Drosophila melanogaster: one gene and its partner. The protein of the gene in region 2 interacts with the protein of the main gene of each other region in a pairwise test. Each region holds a gene or a part of one and is shown on either strand. Other genes may lie near its edges. The genes, in order: CG5762 and tara.

Region 1 (3,388 bases), 8.1 Mb from region 2:
AGATATATACTAAAGAATTGTGCGTAAACAATTATGGAGCGGTGGTAAGCTTGGGTAAATCTCCAGTCCCGACACAAACCATTTTGACCGAAATATGGGATTTGAAACATGGGAACGTTTTTTATTTATTTCTTTGTTATTTGGATAGAAAGAATTCACTTTTATTCAATTAGACAGAAGTAGTTTTTGTAATTTTTTGTCAAATAATTATCAGATTTTTTGTCAAAAGCGTTGGAAAATATCGAATGACATATCTCGATGAACTTGTAATTAAGCCCTTAATTGGTTGGAGTTCAAATTTGGTAATTTTATTTTTTTGACGTTTTTTGAAAAAAATAGACGTTGTTACCCCTTATAAAAAATGTGAAAATAGAAAAAAAAAAATTTTTTTTTTTATTTCACCAAAAGTTGATAAAAATAATAAGCATTGGTAAAAAGCTGTAAGAAATAGTTCTTATTAAGTCTCTGAGACCAATTTTAGCCAAGCTGTGATGAACTTCTCAAATTCCCTCTCCGCTTTTGACGAAGACAAATACACTTAAATATTTTATTAGTAACAAATATCACATCTAGTGCAGATGTGTTACATTTTTACAGTTACATTTTCGGATTTGGACGCTTTAAAATCTGATGCCTTCGACACTATCAATTTGATCAGGCTACAAGAATGAGCGATTGCTAGAATTTCTGATGCGAATACAACTGTCAAATATAAACGGTTTAGAATAAGAACTGACGTTTTCGGGTGCTGTAGGCGTTTGACAACCGGAGAGATACAATGGGTGGTGGACAGCTATCGGTGGCACGAGCAAATTTGTTGCGTTGGATCATCGCCGCATTGGTGTCCCATTGGTTGATAAAGGCACGGGCCTCGTCGTCACATGGCTTTGCCGTACTCGGTCTTTCTTCCTGCAAAAAAGATTATTTCAAATTGATTTTTGTTTGAAATATTCCAAAAAATAGGCACCTGGGCTCGGCGGCGTCGAGGAGCCTCAGTTTCCATCGACTCCAGAAAGTCCCGTCTACGATTTCGTTTGGTCGCCACACTGTCCGGGAAATTAACCCAGGTGCACTCGTACTTGCGCTTCTCCAGTTCGCGCGGATGGTACTGCTCGTTATCGAAGCGTTCCTGATCGTCCCCGACCGAGATGCGTCCGTGGCCCTCGTCCTGCTCCCACATGGAGCGTCGCTTGTTCTTCTTGTACACATCCGCTTTCTCCCGCTCCCTGAGTATCTGATCGTCTGGCAGGTATTGGCTGCCCACTCTGGGCCGCTGGGAACGCCTGGCAATGTGACGCGTTGAGGCGCATTCGATCCGCGCACGGAGGAGCTCGATGCAACGGTTCACCATCATCCGAGTGCCACCGTGGATGTTAACCATTCTCGGAAGATATTTTTTTTTTTTTTACAGTTTTAGAAATTTTATTAAAAGAATTAGGGAATTGTGTAAGTTTTAGTATTGGAATGCCAAAATGTAGCCTGCTTCCAAAGAGGCGGCGTGTAACGAACTGAATCCGCTCCCAACAAATCGAGGTGACATGTAAGGTGCGTACGAATCAAGGCACACCTGATGCTGTAAGTCGGCTCACCTTTCTTAATTAGCACTGTTCACCTGGCGTTAATTTTCCACGACTAGTATCTGTCACACAGATCAGTTGAGTTCTCAGAGTGGCGGCATGAGGTCTACGATTTTGGTACTTCTGTTGATCGGAGCCATTAGGGCGGCTATTGGGAATCAAACCCATCTGGTGGGCTCCTCTTTGGAGAATCGCATTCTATCGCGACGGGTGCGTGCTTTGGTTTTTCCCGACAAGGCATCCCTTCTCCTGACCGCCGCCCTAACCAAACTAATTTTGGGCGGACGACCAAGTGGCCTTCAGTACAGCTTGGAGTTTGATATGTACGTTCCGGTTCCCGACACCATTGAGGGTTGGCAGCCCAAGATCCTAAAGAAGATGAAGCCAAAGCCAATGTCAACGCCAAAACGCCGGTATGATTGGTCATATAGCAAAAGACCTGAAAGCTATTATCCATACTATGCGGATCCATATAGAAATGCTCATTACGAAAGGTAAAGTATATATATTTAACCGTTAAAGAAATAAATTCGAAATTTTAAGTTTTAGTCCTGCTAACAATCATAGAGTTCCATTCTACCAAGCAACATCGAGGTAAATTATTATGAATTACTTTCAAGAGGTAATAATTACAAGTTCAATGTCCTACTAGGGATTCATTTCCCCAAGCTTCATGGCATTCATCCTCGCCCACTAATCGCAGGAAAGAGTTTTATACATCGAGGTAATATAAGATTAATCATTTTGAAATACCCTAAAGTGGCTTTAAAATATTTCAGACCCTCATTGAATAGGGCCTCATTCTATCATAGCCCATGGAGCTTGTCTGCAAATCAGAGAAACTCATATCCACCGGAGGAAGAAGTTTATGAATCCTGGGATCAAGTGCCTAGTTGGAAGTTACATCGTGGATACAGAGAACGCAGAGAGATTTTCGATCAACTCGAGGCCATGGGAAAAGTGTAAGTCTTAAGTGATCCACAGAATAATTTAAAAGAACCTATTAATAGTTTTCAGTTGGACCTAAGGTCTTGTATCAAGAGAGCCATGTGTGAACTAAGGGCCAAGTTAAATGCAGGTCAAGATCAGGGATTCCTCATGGAGGATCTAATGCGAATTGTGCTGACGTAAGTAAAATAATTCATTGTCATATATAATGCCATTAAAACCATAATAAACTATACTTCAGAGTTCCCGAAGAGGTGGCCGATGATAAGTACAGGCATCGCATGGATAACCAGGACTGTGCCCGATTCTACGCCCCAAGTTGTCCCTACAATGTTCTAGACTTCCTTACCCAAAGTGGTGCAAAATTGTAAACATAGTGAGCCGAGAATCGAACTTCCGCCCCAAGTCGTTGTACTGTGATTTCGGATAACCCAGAGTCATCAGTTCTCATTCCGTTCTCGAGCTGGATAGGTCTCTAGCCTCCCAGTTTCGTGTTCGCAAAATTCCATCTAAATTTCCGGCCCAAACCTTTTGGAAAATATATTTCGGTTAAAAATTCAAAATTCCAGAGCTCAAAAATGGCACTGAGTGTTAATCCCTCCCGAGTACTGTTCCGTCCAATTTTTGGTGCGGTTAACAGCTGTGTGCGATTTGCATCCGGTTGTGAAAAGAAGGGGCCGAGCCGGTGCCCGAAGGTGTTGACCAAGTTCCCCTGCGGCAAACCCAATCTGCAGGCTCCGCCCAAGAAGAAGAGGAAGATGGTCAAGGCACAGTCCATGTGGCTGAACCCATTCTGTGATCCCGACGACACCGCCTGTCCGTTCAATCCGCGCTTCGACGATATCTACTACGTCGAGTCGGAC
Region 2 (4,840 bases):
GAAAATAATTACATAGAAATACGCCTTTTAAATATTTCTAAAATAAAACAAAAATGTTTAAAACATATATTTTTGGATTGTTTGTACAGATATTATATTCATCTTTAGAATTTCCTGAGAAACGTAGAGCTAAGGATTTAAGCTCTTGTTTTCCATACTATTTACAGCAATATACATGGAGTTTTTTATGAAGTTTCTAGAAATTATATTTGTTTTCAGTGAAAATGGCATTTTCAGCGATTGGCGCTCGAAGGCGAACAATGAATGCCACAGCCGCCAGAGTGGCCAGCATCGTTAAAGCTTTAACCGACTCCCCTTTCTGCTAGCCTCCCATTACCACGGCGCTGTCCCCTCTTTCAAATCCCCACAAAAAAAAACCCCTTTTGCCAATTTCGAGGCTGCGCTGCGTCGCACAAATTTCAATGCGCTCTTGCCTCGAAACGGTGGAAAATGCGCGTCCGTTGTTAGTCGGAAAACGTCGTCATCCGTCGACGGTTGTTTTGGCTGCCTTTGGACCAGGAGTTTTCCGCCAGCAGAGGCAGCGACAGAAGCAGAGGCAGCGACAAAAGCAGCGACCACGACAGAACTAGAAATCCGGCATTACACTCAACAAAAACTTTTGCTAAACCAATTATTCATGAACTAAAAAAAAGCGTTTGCATAATGTCCTAAATTTATGAACAAGTTTCATATAACTTAGAATATTTCTACCTGATCAATTTTTATCAGAATTTTTAACCATTTTATTATCCATTCTTGTTTAAGTGCGGCTTTAGCTTTTGCCTTGGCAGCAGAAACTTCGGCTCTTCGTTCGGCCTGGCTCTCATAAATGACATAGAGAGAGAGAGAGAGGAAAAGAGGGAGGTGGATGACGGTTGGTAACTGTGGGAGAGCGTGGGCCAAACAAAGAGCCACCCAACTCTCTCCTAAGCACTGGGTGTGCGAGTGTGTGTGTGCAGCGAAGCAAGCAAAGCAATCAGCAGTCAGCGGGGTCGGAGGGTGGGGAATTGCTCTCGTAAGTGTGACTGTGTGTGGGGAAAGAGAGCCTAGCCACCCAAATCGCCCACTTTTATCAGTCAGCAAAAGGTCGTTCGGCACTGTGGTCGCTTCGCTCCGCAGAGCACCTGACTCACTGTCAACTGATAAAAGTCGCCGATATCAGGTGCGACGTTATGCCACCAGCCTTTGCAATCAGAAAAGATGATATGAGCACTTAGGATCGTCTTTGAACTGATTCGAAATAAATTTATTTGATCATCATTTAAAACTACATATATAAGAGATATTAGATAATTCTATGATTTCTTTTAAGGACTTAGTAATTTAGGATCGTTTGTACAAACTTTGCAATTTTATTTACCAAACCCACACGTATACCGATCCTCCGAAAAATGTATTTCTGTTCCGCCTCTTACCAAAGTCATTAATAAGATGATTTTCGCTATATCAATCATACACGCCCTGTTACCCTTGCAGAAACAAAAATATGGAAATATTTGTAGCATTCAGTTTTCATCTTACAAAATCGTCAATAATCTGTTGGAGATCTTTATTTATTTACAAAGCCAAAAAGAGGAAGTTTAGTTAGGCGCTTACGTTGCGTATAAGTTAAAGGAATGGTTGTAAATTCTTCACAAGCTGCAGAAGTTCGATTTCCAGCACAAAAATATCGATCCCCCATTATGAACAAAGATCCAATATTATCGATACATCTGTGTACTTGGCTTCGTGCAGAAACCGTTAGGCGCCAATCACAATTATCGACTTTATGAAAACGAGCAAAGCGGCCAAAGCAAAGCAAAACCCATACGAGCTGAGCTGAAGCAATCCGAATTGAACCGAGCCAAGGCGAGTTGGCTTTGTTTGTTGGTCGGGCCCACTAAAATAGTTCAGGAAATGATGAAAACGTGGAGCTGGGGCGAAGCAGAGAGGGCGGAAGGCATGGTACATTGAAAGCATTGTGGGTCTGAGTTTTGGTATTGGGATTGGAGCCATGGCTTTCGCCCGATTGTGTCCCAGCCTGGTGGCTTTCCACAGAGCAACTGAAAATACGAAAATTCGAGGCGGAAAAGCTGGCAACAACAACGCGCGCATGTGGCAGAGTTGCCAAAGCGCAGAGAGTTTTCCAGGCGCGGCGACGGCAACCCTGGCCACCCGGCTGTCGAGTGTGTTGGCCAGGCCGAAAGCATTCAGTACGAACTCTGCACTTCGCACAACAAGACGCCAAGCGACCAGCGACGACGACGCCAAAGGCGCTCGGCCAAAGCCACAGAGCCCGAGCAAAAACTACGTAAATTTTCCACAGCGATTTTCCCCATTTTTCCCAGTTGAACAACAGCGCCAAAAACAAAAACATCGGACCAGCGGTCTGCATGTGTGTTTGTGCCAGAGCGTGTGTGTTTTGTGTGTGTTATATAGTGAATCGTTCTTGGCCCGACGATCGACTTCCCCATCACCCTCAAACCCGCAAACATGTGGAGCTGGGGCTAAGGAACACCACGGAACCCAAAACAACCAGCGACTCAGAAAAAGGCGCCAAACTTAAATTATTGCCAGCCGAGATTACCTCCTCAAGACTTCGCAGGAAACCATGAAAATGTGGACGGAATCCAATGTGAGTAGATCGTGATAAGGCCTTACTATGGCTCACTCTATAAGTACCGACCTTGATCTTGTCCAATGATATTGGCCATCGATTGGTTATTGTCATCGTGTTTGTTCTAGCTCTAGATGGACTACACTTGAATCTAAATTGAAATGATCAAATTTTGATCAGAAAATACTATTTCAATTTTGGTCCAGCATATAATGTGATATCTGAGCTGAACTTACGACATATAATATCTAATAATGGTATTTTTAAAATGTAAAGTGATCGTTCGTAATTTAAAGCTATGCAATCTAATTATAAGAAAATATACATTTCCTAAAAATATTAGAAATATACCAATGTTTTTAGATTTGATTATCAATCATATGGTTGTATGGTGTCACCTTATTATTAACATTCAGTTTCCCTACATTTATTGGCTTCATTCTTATCACATATGTATGGTTCATTGCGGTGTATGATATGATTGCATTTGAGTACACATGTGAGGTGCATTCGCTATCTTTGTTTTGATTCTTGAGTTTCTTCTATCGGCATTTACGCTTTATGCGCTTGTTTCCTTTGCCGTTTACCGGCGAATCCAATTGAAAAGTCATTTGGCTACGGCCGGGAAATGTTCAATGGATTGGCGTGGGGCGCCACGAGGGGTGAGCATCGGGGGGTCAAGGATGGGTGCCTCCAGCGGAGCAGCACGCACATCCATGTGGGGCATTTGTAGTAGGCACGCACAGCACGCGTCGTCAGCTAGCCATTTGCTCGATTCCCTCGAATCCCCCGATTCTCGATGCCCGATTCCGATTCAGATACGATTTCCATTCCCAAGTTGGGGTCTTTCCCGACAAGCCCCCATCGCAATCGAAGCCAAGTAAACAAAAGCCAACAACATCAAGGTTTTTTCTCCCTCTTTGTTTTCTTTCTTTATTTCTACCGCTTGCAGCAATTAAATGAAAGTTTTTGTGATGATGGATGATGAAAGGGGGGCGGTGGGTGGTGCGGACGTGATGGTGATTGTGGTGGTAGAGGCGTAGAAGCCGGCGAGCAAAACAAAAACGGCAAAAATGTCATACACGTCGAGGGGGTGGCAATCGCATGGGGCGGTGCGGTTGGTTCGGGGCATGTAAAGTGCATTGGCATTTAAGATTCTTTGCAGGCTTCACTTCCAAGTTCCGCAAACAAATAAAAACCGAAGAGGAAATACATTTTTGAAATAAACTTGACCCACAATTGGACAAAGTGTTCGATGCAAGATATGTAGATATGCCGGCTTTGAGAAAAATGTTTGCTACCAGGAATTTGTCAGGTAGCAATTTATTTAAAAATGTTAAGACAAAATAATATTCCCAAACTTTTTAGTTAATAGTTTGTACTTGTGATCAAGCTTGCATATGTATGTACATACGTGCACATTCTTTAATGGGTTTTTGGTAATGTTACAAATGTGTAATGTCAATTTTTTATTTGAGGTGTTTAGGTAAAAGAACGGGTAAATGAGGTATATTTAGCCAAGCCTTGGAAAAGTCTGTTGTTAAAAAGTCAACAAATTCGACCGCTCCACATAAATGATTAACAAGGGCAAAGGTCGTAAAACGGAAAATCAACAATAAATACACGTACCAGTCCCCTCTTACCAATTTACGCACAAACACACACACATACACACCGCAATGGAATCCACTTGTCCTTGACACAGTGACGTACCAAAGTCCGAACGTTGTATAATAATAGCATCATGACTTGCGCTTGTTCCGCTCCTTTCTGGGGGATGGCAGTGGGCGTGGCACCCCGGCAACTCATTTTCATTATCGGTCCCATGCAAATGCCCGTCGCATACCTTAGGTCAGTTTCCGTATCATAAAAAAGCCCGGATACGAAACACATTCACGGGGAGAGGGGCAGCAGCCGGCGGCGGACGAACCCTTTTTTCCGGGCTATAAATACAGGCAAAAATCTCTAACTCGAACCGCAAACATGTGGTGAATGAACAATTGCCGCCATTGGGAATTCGAGTTCTACATTTTATTTTGCGCATTTAAAGAACGGTTTTTGTATTCGTATTTCATTAAAAATATGTTACTTCAAAATTAAAAATATTTAAAACTGATTATATGAGTGGCATAAAATCTTAAAAACTTGTAAACTTTTATGCACTGTGCATAAAATTCTGTTATTAATATGTTTTAATGCAATTTCAACATTATCGTTAACATCATCGTTTGCACATATGTAGAT

Evidence for each region.
Region 1: the proteins of tara (region 2) and CG5762 interact in a two-hybrid assay, tested with the Drosophila melanogaster proteins (one large-scale study listed by BioGRID).

What each region holds. Positions count from the first base shown.
Region 1 is NT_033777.3:24,360,171-24,363,558, forward strand, and holds CG5762 (uncharacterized protein), read right to left. Parts: upstream 1,514-3,388; 5' UTR 1,382-1,513; coding exon 968-1,381; intron 910-967; coding exon 721-909; 3' UTR 535-720; downstream 1-534. Other genes in the region: CG33339 (uncharacterized protein), read left to right, coding at 1,677-2,071, 2,127-2,171, 2,230-2,301, 2,357-2,539, 2,588-2,704, 2,767-2,896; CG33340 (uncharacterized protein), read left to right, coding at 3,104-3,388.
Region 2 is NT_033777.3:16,223,826-16,228,665, forward strand, and holds the start of tara (taranis), read left to right. Parts: upstream 1-1,825; 5' UTR 1,826-2,590; coding exon 2,591-2,614; intron 2,615-4,840.